2 linked regions of the Drosophila melanogaster genome follow. Each later gene encodes a partner of the first gene's protein in a complex. Each region holds a gene or a part of one and is shown on either strand. Other genes may lie near its edges.

Region 1 (6,012 bases):
CCTAACCCATGACTATTTTAATTTCCCCTCACTACTGGATGAGGCCATGTTGCAACAGTTGATGCAGCTGCAAGATTCCGGATTGCTCAATCGCACGGTGGTAATGTTGCTATCCGATCACGGACTGAGATGGGGTTCCTTTCGTCGTACCTACCAGGGCATGATGGAGGAGCGCCAGCCCCTAATGATGCTTTTGTATCCGCCATGGATGACCGAGCGTTATCCGGAGGCAATTGCCAATCTTAGGTTAAATGCCCGCCGGCTAACCACACCATTTGATGTGCACGCGACAATGTTGCAGCTGCTAAATCTTCACAATCTGGAGGCAGATCAGTTGCAACGCAGATCAACAGAGATGGACGAGCCGGATAGCACGCTGCCCAGAGGCATTAGCCTATTCCTGCCCATCCCGGCTGCTCGGACCTGCGAGCAGGCAGGGATTGCCGCCCACTGGTGCACCTGCCATCAGCGCCAGGAGCTGCAGACAAACGATCCACGTGTCCAGCGGGCGGCGCGCTATCTGGTACGCTTGATCAATAACCGACTGAAGGATAGCTCACAGTGCAGAACCCTATACCTGAACTCCATACTCCAGGCTCTGATTGCAGCGCCGCACTCGAAGATTGTGAAGAACATTTCCACGGACTACGCAGTGGACATCACCCTGCGACTGCAGACGAAGCCCGGGCTGGGTGTGTTTGAGTCCACGGTGCGGATGACGGGCTATACGACCGTACTAACGGGCACCATTAGTCGTCTGAATCTGTACGGAAGCCAGAGCTACTGTCTCAACGATCCGGCGCTAAAAATGTTCTGCTATTGCCACAGATAAGGCAATGGCAATGTAACTGGGAGCTTTCGGGGATGGGGAGGATGTGTTTGACGTCAAAGACTTGAAACCCATTAACGTAGCCTTAGCCATAAAACCTAGTTTATTTCTATGAAATAGCCAATGTTTGTATAAAAATACTTATCCAATTTTAGCCTTTGCCGTAAGGAGTTCCCAGTCTTAGGCACCTATGTAGTCACGGTAGTTGAGCGGAATTTGTTTATTTCCCACTAACTTAGAGGACAATAAACTGAATGAACTAATAATCGTAATAACCGCAGAATTACTTTGTGTATGTAAAATAAATGATAAGCTATTACTGACTAGGGAGGGAAGTGGCGAACATATAAATAAATAATAGTATCCAAAATATGTAGCACTTAATGTTGTAGACCATAATTGAGTTGTTATATACATATATAATGCACTTTTTGTTTAGTATCTCATGATTTATAGCCTTATGCTGAGTTAATAAATGAATAATAGGATGAACTTTTTATAAATGAGTCAATTGGGAATATCCCTTTCTAGTTACAAATTTATTTAGATGCTAAATTATATTTAGCCACGTACTTTAATAATTTTCATAACATTTATGAACCAATGCACATGTATATTTTTGGTGATTGACAATTTATAAAATGTAATAAATCTATAAAAAAAATCGAACGTTTTTATTTAACAAGACCATATATATAAAATTATAAATTTTGCTCTGAGCTCGTTTACCTGTTTTATATCATAAATTCAAATCCCGATAGCTATAACCACAATTTTATCGATACTATCGAAAAAACAACATTTTCAGCTATAGTTGTGCTGTCGTTATTCCAGCTAGATTTATGGGTGTTACAAACTTTTGCGACAAAATATTAGGTACAATTTTTTCATATAATGTTCTAGTTTAATTTTGTAATTTTTTTAATATATTATCAAAAACTATAGCAACAGCATTATTGAAAAATAGCCAGCTTAACGAGGTCCTGGAAATTCATTTGTCGGAAAAAATGCTTAATTGCCAACACAGACGCCTGTTGTTATTGTCTATCGTTCTTATCAGTTCAGTTTCTTCGTTTAATTTTTGTTTGTTGCAAAAATGGTTTAAATTCGCAGTCTTTTGCTTTTTGAGCACTTATTAGAGTAGGACAATATGCCGCCCACGGAGACACTGCGTCCGGGAGAACGCGGAACAGCCGGTGGACCGGGAGCAGGAGCACCCGAACAAACGTACATCGTCAGGCAGAGCAACAAATACTATGAACACCGAGATTCCCAGGCCACGGCCATGTCGGTTGATTACTCGGGTCAGTGGGTGCTCCTCGCGGGCCGTGGTCACCTGGCTTTGCAGCGTTTGGGACAGGACGATGGGTCTCTGCGACGACATGAACGGCAATCGAAGTACGAGGTGTCCGTAGCAGAGTTTGCCATATGTCCCAGTCGCAAAGAGTACTGCGCCATAGCGGTAAATACATAAAGTTATCTACGTATAGGCGGCGTTTATCCCAGTTTGACCTTTGAATTTCAGACTAGCCAGCACATAGACATCGTTCGCTGGGGCACTGCGGAACCACACTACGAGATGTCCTTGCGTGGGCATACTCGAACAGTGACCGACATTGACTGGCACGGCAAGGATCCGAATCTGCTGGTCAGCTGCTCAATAGACACATTTTCTCATATTTGGGACTTAAGGGAGCCCAGGAAACCAGCCCTGTCCTTGAATGCCGTGTGCATGTGTAAGTTTCTACAAAATAATTTCAACTTTTTTATATTATATTTAAAATTCTTTCAGCTGGTGCTACACAAGTGGGATTCAACCGCGTTTCGGGCAACCTTTTGGCTGCTGCCCATGATGGAGATTTACGCATCTGGGATATTCGCAAGGGTAGTTGCCCGACGCACTATATCACAGCACATTTAAATAGAGTGCATGGCATCAATTGGAGCCACAAAAGGGAGACCTGCTTGGCAACCGCCAGTCAGGATGGAACGGTCAAGTACTTTGATGTATGTAATCCTCGCAGGGCCGAGAAGATCATTACAACCATGTCGCCCGTTTGGAGAGCGAGATACACGGTAATTTATATTGGTTTATCAATATTGATTGCTATTCTAAATACATCTTGTTCCATACAGCCTATTGGCAACGGTCTGGTTAGCATTGTGGTGCCCCATTTGGGACGCGGAGAGAATAGTTTGCTGCTCTGGAGCAACAGCAAGCAAACGGACCCTATTTGTTCCTTCGTGGGGCACACCGATGTCATTCTTGACTTTGCCTGGCGTCCAAATCGTGAAAGTTCCAATGAAATAGTAAGTATTTTAAAGATACCACAATGTTCTTACTTATGCATTGAGCTTTAATTAGGAACTGGTCACTTGGTCCAGGGATCGCACGCTGCGGGTGTGGAAGATCGATGATAATATGCTAAAGCTTTGCGAACCGTCTGCGGAAGAAATAGAATCCCGTTTCGAGCCCGATCTCAGTGAGTTAAGAGTGCCTACTCCTCCAGAATTCCTGCATCCACGATCAATTTTGGTTGCCGCTTCGTTGCCCATATCCACGGGTGACGGTGCTTGTAATACCTTGCCCATGGCTCGCTCCCCGAGCTTTGGAGGTGGCTACTATCGCAGGGAAGAGCCCCACATAGCCAGATCACTAACAGATCAACCCACGTGTTCGCTGCACCACGAATTCTCGCTGCTCAACACAAACATGCCTCATGTGGAGGTAGACACACTAGATGCCATAAAGCGGTACGCCTGCTTCAAGATTTGCGCCGGTGGACACACGGTTATTTTACAAGTGACTTTCACGACATCGTATCCAAGTCCTAGTGCTCCGCCGGACTTTCAGCTTTGCCAGGGAACCACTCTGTCCAGTGAAGTTAGTGGAGTTCTGCTAAAAGTGCTCCGTTGCAATGCATTGCAACGGGTCAAGAAATCCCGCACGTGCCTGGAACAATGCCTACGTGCTCTAGTGGCGGCTATGAAGAAAAAGGTGGCCGCTGTAGGCGGAGCGGATCGTAGCCAACTGCTCCTGCAATCCCCTCGGCTGGAAGGAGCTTTGTCGAGCACCCTGCACGATGCCTGCATTCCATATCCGCGGACGTCAGGGGTCCATTTCAATGCCATTGGTATGCTGACCACTTTCGCCCAACCAGTGAACAACAAAAGGCTGACCCTGCGGCAACACACCGCATTGACTCCACGGACTTTTTCATCGATTAATGGTAGTGGATTGCTAGGCAATGTGATGGCCACCGCCCAGAGGGAAGCTAACGCCTCCTTTTACCTCCAGGAGAGGATGATTTCGGGAAAACCGGGCAAGCAGCGAGCCATCCGACAGATGAATGGAAGTCCGGTGGTTCACGTATACGACACAAGTAGCTTACTCCACATTAGTCGGAGAATGGCTCGGGAGTTCTCCCTCGATAAGTGCAACATAGCAGAAACGTGTCGTAAAAATGGTGAGATCTGTCGCCAGCATGGGCGCTTGGACTTGGTGCCCGTGTGGCTATTGGCGGAACTGATAGCCACACCCCAAATTCCACATGAAACACTCAACGATCTGCTGTTCTACAAAGATCCCTTCAAGAAATCTCTGCTGGAATCACTAATAATGCATTATGCTATCTCCGGTGACATACAGACTGCTGTGCTGCTGGCTTGTTTGTTTGACAAGTGCCCCACGGGTGGCGGTGCCATTATGGAGAAGACAGTTCGACTTCCGCCGCAGCTTAACTCGCAAATTTCACCGTATCACACGGTCCTGCCGCTTGACGTCAAGTCATCTTCTTCATCGAACACTTGGCAGCAACTTAAGCAACTACGCAGCAACTCTTGGTCCGACTCCCTGGATTTGGAGATTAAGCAAATCCAGTCTGATGCATACGCTTGCTCATTGATTAGACGGACTAAGATGCCACTGTTTGATCAATTTAAGCGCGCCTATGCCGAAATTTTATTTGGCTGGCAGTTGCTTTCGAAGCGGGCTTTGATCCTCAAGCACACGCAGAATACACCACCTCCAGTCCAGGGTGTGGAATTCGTTACCGAGTGCAGGAAGTGTGCCAAGCCCAAACGGACGCCCAAATGCGAGCCCTGCAAGCGACCCGTACTCTTCTGCGTCCTCTGCCGTTTGCCTGTGAAAGGAGCAGCCAATGCGTGTCTGGCTTGTGGCCATGGCGGTCACATTGATCACATGATGCAGTGGTTTGAGGTTGGTATCTATTTGAGTTTGATTCGACTGGTTTCTTTTTCACGAACCAAACGATGTATGGATTTGGATTTATGGATTTATGGATATAAATATATTCATGTTTGCTATTTTCTTGTTTAACTTTCAGAAACACAATGTCTGTGCTACGTGTGGCTGCAAGTGCTTGGAGCGCACCTCAGAGCTGCTAGCCCTACTCAGCTGATTCAGACCTTGAGTGATGTGCATTCCTTTCAAAAATAATCTTACTTAACTTTCTTTCGTCTGTGTGGATATCAAAATAGTTAGGTGTTTTTTAGTCATTAGGCCAACAATTTTTGTACGATTTGCATACCATTGAGAAATATATGACCACTTACTAGCCAAGCTAAGGGTAAAAGCTTTATGCAACTATACACTTAACCAAAATCATATGGTTACGATAATTCAAAAAGAACTGTTTCTAGATTTTTTCAAGTACATACATTTATTCTTTTTTATTATCGACTTTTGCTTTCTGTTTTTTTTTTTTTTTTTTAGCTTAAATTCTACGATTTACTTGTAGTTTTTGCATTTGCAATCTAATAATTTTTTTGTTTTGTCCGTCATAATAAAGTTTGCTTTAGTTTTGAAAATAATTTTTAAATAAGTTTCTACAGCTCCTATTCTTGTTTTTGTGTGTTTTCTTTTGTTCATTAAGCGTCATAAAGATAAAAAGGAAAATAAAAGGAACGCAAAAATAAAATAATAAAAAAATATATTGCAATTTAGTAGGCGAATCATTATAAAGATAATACAATTTTGATATAGCGACATAAACATTAGATATACGGCCTTACTATAAACAAATCACGCACAAAACAAATAAACAATAAAATGAAAGGCATAGATTCAATTTCAACTTTTTAAGGGATGAACTTAGCTGAGAGCTTTTTAGCATACTAACTTCTTTTTGGACTTAACTACAAGCGTGTATTTATAAATGTGT
Region 2 (5,278 bases), on another chromosome or scaffold:
GAGAAGCTCATGTACTCCACGGCCATTTTGACCTCGACCACCTGGCGGTTCTCGAACTCCACCTTCTTGGCGCCACCGAGAATCTTGTTGCCCACGGTTCCCTGCACACAGTAGCCGGGCATAATCACCATGTTGTTCTCATTCGGCGCCCACTTCTTGAAGATCTGCAGGGAAAGACCTGCGTGCAGCATGCCTGGCGTGGCGAACACTACCATCGCGCCAGGATTGTCGATGTAGGCCTTGTCAAAGGGCTTGATGTGCTTGAAGTCGAACATGTTGCGGTGAACGAAGGTCTTGCGGATCTTCTGGTTCGTCCAGGTGATGAACATTTTGTAGTAGGTATTGGCCTTCTCGGTAAGACCCAGAGCAAAGTATATGGGGTACTTGAGGTTCATGCGCTCCCAGTACGTCTCCAGCAGGATGCACAGCTCCTGGGCGCGACCCAGGGCAAAAACAGGGATTAAAACCTTGCCGCCCTTAGCCACGCACTCGTGAACTTTCTTGAGGAAGTCCCTCTCGCGACACCGCTTCGAGTCCCTAATGGTAGTGGCGTAGGTGCTCTCGGAGATCAGCAAGTCCGGCCGGCACTTGTCTATCCAGGCGGCTCCCAGATGCCTGTCTGGAGTCATGTTGTAGTCCCCCGTGTAGACAACGCTCTGGGAGCCCACCTTGATCCAGAACATGGCGGCGCCCAGGACATGGCCTGCATAGTAGGCTTTGATCTCAAGGTCCGTGTCCACCATCATACTCTGGTGAAGTGTGACGGGAATCACCTTCTTCATGCAGTCCTTGATCATCTGGGTGGTAAAGAAGTTCGACTCGCCTTTCCGCTCTACGGCCACCTTCCGCATGTCCTCCAGGAGGATGGGTGCTATGGCCTTGGTCGGATGCGTCATGTAGATGGGCCCCGTGTAGCCCACAATCTCTGACATGTAGGGCAAGGCCCCGCAGTGATCTGGAATGCATGCAATCGATAAAGAAACGATTAGAGCCAGTTGACCAGATAAGAGCGCCTTTGGGAGGCCGAGACTCACCCAGGTGGAAGTGCGAGATGATCACACAGTCAATGTGGCTGGTGATCGGACCCTCCGGCACTATGTAGGAGAAGTCCGGGAAGCGGCGCTCGTCGTTGTAGCCCATATGCATCCCGCAGTCGAGCATTATGTTCTTCCCGCCCATCGAGAGCAGCAGACAGCTGCGGCCCACATCCTGGCCGGCGCCCAAGGGCGTTATCTTGATGTCCGGCATTTCTGGAAGGGATCAGGATCACCCGGCTCCACTCTCCTGCTTTCTTGCGGCCACTTGTTGCGCTGGTAAATGAAATTGTCGAAAAAGTCGACCGTGATTTTTGTAAACAGCAAGGCCGCACGAATGGCGTTGCCACTCCGTCGGTGTGGATGGTCCGGCAACGACGCGCTCCAACTGGCAGATCTTATTGGAGTGTTCCAAGAAGTTTCAAAGAATTTAATAGCTTAATTGAAATTAATGTTTCTGTCTGTATATGTATAGAATACATTAATTATATGTGAATAATACAACTTTAGTACAATAAGTCTTTTGTTCAAACAATATTCAACATCTGCATTTGGGAACACTCGCGCCAATGGTTTGCCGCTCGAGAAACGGTCATACTGAACCGAAAGGAAAATAAAAGATAGCGTCTTGTCTTATCAAATCACTGTTTTGCTTTCTGCGGGCGAACTTGCAACTGCTGCAGGATGCCCGATTCCGTGGAGGACACCTCCACAATCTCGCTGCGGATATGCCTGGAAGGACACGCGAACGCCCTGGCCCTGAATAAGGACAACAACCAGATTGCTTTGGCCGGAAGAAGCTGTAAGATTAGAATTGCCCAAGGTCTTTCTATAAATACACATAATTTGCTTCCGAACAGTGCTTAAGGTGTACTCCATAAACAGCAATGGCTTCACGGAATCGTGTAATATGCGCGGAAAGAACCAGAATCTTAGCTACTCCGCCAACGATGTGGCCTGGTCCACCTTGGATAGCAATCTTTTGGCTACGGCGGCCACGAACGGAGTGGTTTCCGTGTGGGATCTCTCCAAGTTCGGCAGGCAGAAGCAGCTGCTTGTCTACAACGAACATGAGCGCACCGCTCATACCGTGACCTTTCACAGCAGCGAGCCCAACATCCTGATCTCCGGTTCTCAGGATGGCACCATCAAGTGTTTCGACATCCGATCGGATAAGTCAATCAACACCTACTTCTGCAACTCGGAATCAGTGCGGGATGTCAAGTTCAGTCCACACACACAAAACATATTCTCCGCCGTCTCCGAGAATGGAACTGTCCAGTTGTGGGACATGCGGAAGTGGGACAAGTGCATGGTGCAGTTTACGGCGCACTACGGGCCAGTCTACACATGCGACTGGCATCCCACAAGGAATTGGCTGGCCACCGGAAGTCGGGACAAGCAGATCAAGGTGTGGAACATGGATGGCAGGCCGGGATTGGAGCACACCATTCACACAATCGCCGTAGTGGGACGGGTTAAGTGGCGACCAGAAAGAACGTAGGTTTTTCTAGCCAGGTTTAACAGTCTTATTTATATTAAATCTGTTTAATCCTTTCCAGTTATCACATCGCTAGTTGTGCCCTTGTGGTGGACTACAGCGTTCATGTGTGGGACATCCGCAGACCCTACATCCCCTTTGCCTCCTTCAACGAGCACACCAATGTGACTACTGGAATTGCGTGGCAGGGCAGCGACTCGCACTGTCTTCTGTCCATCAGCAAGGACTCCACCATTTACAAACATGCTTTTAAGGATGCCACGAGGCCAGCGCTGAAGGCAAATGCCCAGGGAGCTAGCCTGGGCAGATTTGGGGACATCTCCTTTGCCAACAAGATCAAGGAGTATGAACCCAAGACCAGCGGTGCATCCAATACCAAGTCTTCTAGCTTCATGTATGTCGTATTTGTTGTATCAACTTGTATGTTTATATGTATGTGTATTTTAGAAGTCGCCGTAAGACGAATGTGGCTGGCAGCATTCAGTTCCATTTGGACCATTCCAAAATGTACAAATTCATGGTAAACGACACGGTTAGTATGACACTATTAGGGATTTCTTTGCCAAATCTGATACTAATTGATATATTTCAGTTTTCCGGCTATCCCCTAAGCGAATCTGTTTCAAGACCCACCCAAGAACACGAAAGTTTTATTGGCTGTGCCAGGGAACTTGTTATCAGTGGGAAAAAACTATCGGAGTTATGCGAGCACAATGCAGAGGTTTCCAAGAAATACGGCAAACATAATGTAAGCGCTTGAGATTATTCCCAAAATTTGCCAAAACTTAGCATCTACATTTTTCAGGCCACCACATTGTGGAACTTTATCAAATTGTTCTACGGCAGCAATCACTTTGAGCCTCCCTTCGAGCACCGCTCCTCCTTCTCGAATCAAAAGAATCCAATGAACTCACGACGTGCCACGCAAGTAGCCAGCGATTGGCCACAGCAGCGAACTGAACTAGGCCAGGATCTCAATGGAAACACGCCGGAAACAGCCCACGAAATTGATGTGGCGAATGTGGACGATGATACGCTCGGCAGCAGTGGTGTGGAGCATCCGCCTACGAGCTCAGTGATTCTGTCCGAAACGCAAATCATCAGCGAGATTACCTTTGACAACTTTGAGCTCTTGCGCAATGGGTTTATCTACGTGGGTCCCACAGAATGCCCGAAAGCTTTGGCCTTCCCCGCCCTTCATCACGATGTGCAGGCTGCACGACCACAACTGGATCTCAAGGCGTCCGATCACGAAAAGTCACCTGTTAGTTGAGATTATTGAGAACTCGATGTATTTACAGCTTAACTAACTTATTCATCCTCTTTTTAGCCACCGCATGTTCCCACTGTCCTAAAAGTCAGCCATGTCCCGCCCATACCCATGTGGGAACCGCATAAGTTCGTCTCCGATGCCCTCATGCTAATGAACGATGTGGGCGATGTGCAAACAGCTCTGACAGTCCTTATAGCGCTGGGAGAAGCTCGGAAGCTCCTGCCCATTGACGATGCATTGGTGGTGAGTTCAAAGACAAAGTTGGGATCAGAACGGAGTTATTCATCCGGTTTTCTTCCTTTTCAGGAGCACTGGTTTTACACCTACGTGGACCAGCTGCATCGCTATGAGCTGTGGAACGAGGCCTGCGAGGTTATCAACCGCTCCTGGCTGAGATCGGTGCAGCAGCTCAACCAGCACTCGACCGCCATGCACACGAACTGTGGAGAGTGTGGACGTCCAATGGGCGGCAAGGTGGGATGGTACTGCGACAAGTGCAAGTCCATGCAGTCCGCCAAGTGCTGCGTCTGCGGTCTGATCGTCCGGGGAGTCTACGCCTGGTGCCAAGGATGCTCCCACGGCGGTCACATAGAGCACCTGCAGAAGTACTTTGCCAAACACTCCAAGTGCCCCAAGTGCGGACACCTTTGCGCGTACTCATGAGACGCGGAGGAGGCTGGGTTTGCCCAGCTTTTGCCCCCCATTTGAGAGCCTTGTAAATAGAGAAGACTTAAGCCCAATAAGTACCTTGCACTAGACACTAAACAGATTTTTATATAAATGTAGCTCGAAGATGTAAACTTGTAAAATAAGCTCAACGTTTGTGAAGTAAATTAACAGACAGGTTTAATCGATCTTCTGCAACTTTAAATAGCACAAATGTTTGTTACTTAACTTTTTTTGAAATATTGGAAAATAAAACTGTTGTCTGTTGATGCAAGTAAGTTTATAAACATTCTGGGCTTTTGAAAAAAGTGTCCACTTTATTGAATTTCTTCAATCATTAAAGGTTTTTGAAAGATTCGTATTGGGTTTTAATCGCTATTGTTGATTAGTGTTAATAACAGTTTAACAGTTATGCGAGTGTTTCAATCTTAGGGCTACTTGATGAAGGTGCTCTTAAAAGGTAATATTACAACCACCTTGGAGTTGAGAGGTCGAGCCGCACATTCAGTAGCAGAAAGGGGAGAAAAAATTATAAAATTGAGAGTTCTGTAGGGATTAAAAACAGAGAGCAACATATGTTGCGGTTGTCTTTAACTAAATATCTAATTGTATGTCCTCGCGGGTGGGTGGACAAGCACGTCCGTCCACAAGGACACCACCGCCAGCCAGCGCTGTCCAAAAATCCATCATGCCCTCAGCGCAATGGAATTTTGGCAATGCCTATATGCATTTAATGTTTTCTTAGAATCCAATTTTAGTTTTGTTGCATTGCGCTTCGCGCATTTGTAACTTTGAGATGGGGTG

What was found.
Region 2: Wdr59 (region 1) and Wdr24 share a complex: the UniProt entries of both Drosophila melanogaster proteins name them as parts of the GATOR complex.

Annotation. Positions count from the first base shown.
Region 1 is NT_033779.5:11,089,588-11,095,599, forward strand, and holds Wdr59 (WD repeat domain 59), read left to right. Parts: upstream 1-1,856; 5' UTR 1,857-1,979; coding exon 1,980-2,291; intron 2,292-2,354; coding exon 2,355-2,565; intron 2,566-2,621; coding exon 2,622-2,905; intron 2,906-2,965; coding exon 2,966-3,139; intron 3,140-3,194; coding exon 3,195-5,048; intron 5,049-5,175; coding exon 5,176-5,250; 3' UTR 5,251-5,509; downstream 5,510-6,012. Other genes in the region: CG16854 (uncharacterized protein), read left to right, coding at 1-832. UniProt on the Drosophila melanogaster protein: A component of the GATOR complex, which functions as a regulator of the amino acid-sensing branch of the mTORC1 signaling pathway.
Region 2 is NT_033777.3:29,741,440-29,746,717, reverse strand, and holds Wdr24 (WD repeat domain 24), read left to right. Parts: upstream 1-1,625; 5' UTR 1,626-1,718; coding exon 1,719-1,836; intron 1,837-1,894; coding exon 1,895-2,534; intron 2,535-2,596; coding exon 2,597-2,929; intron 2,930-2,982; coding exon 2,983-3,067; intron 3,068-3,127; coding exon 3,128-3,283; intron 3,284-3,340; coding exon 3,341-3,799; intron 3,800-3,865; coding exon 3,866-4,051; intron 4,052-4,114; coding exon 4,115-4,471; 3' UTR 4,472-4,746; downstream 4,747-5,278. Other genes in the region: IntS11 (integrator 11), read right to left, coding at 1-955, 1,035-1,248; Gnpnat (Glucosamine-phosphate N-acetyltransferase), read right to left, coding at 4,979-5,020. UniProt on the Drosophila melanogaster protein: An essential component of the GATOR subcomplex GATOR2 which functions as an activator of the amino acid-sensing branch of the mTORC1 signaling pathway.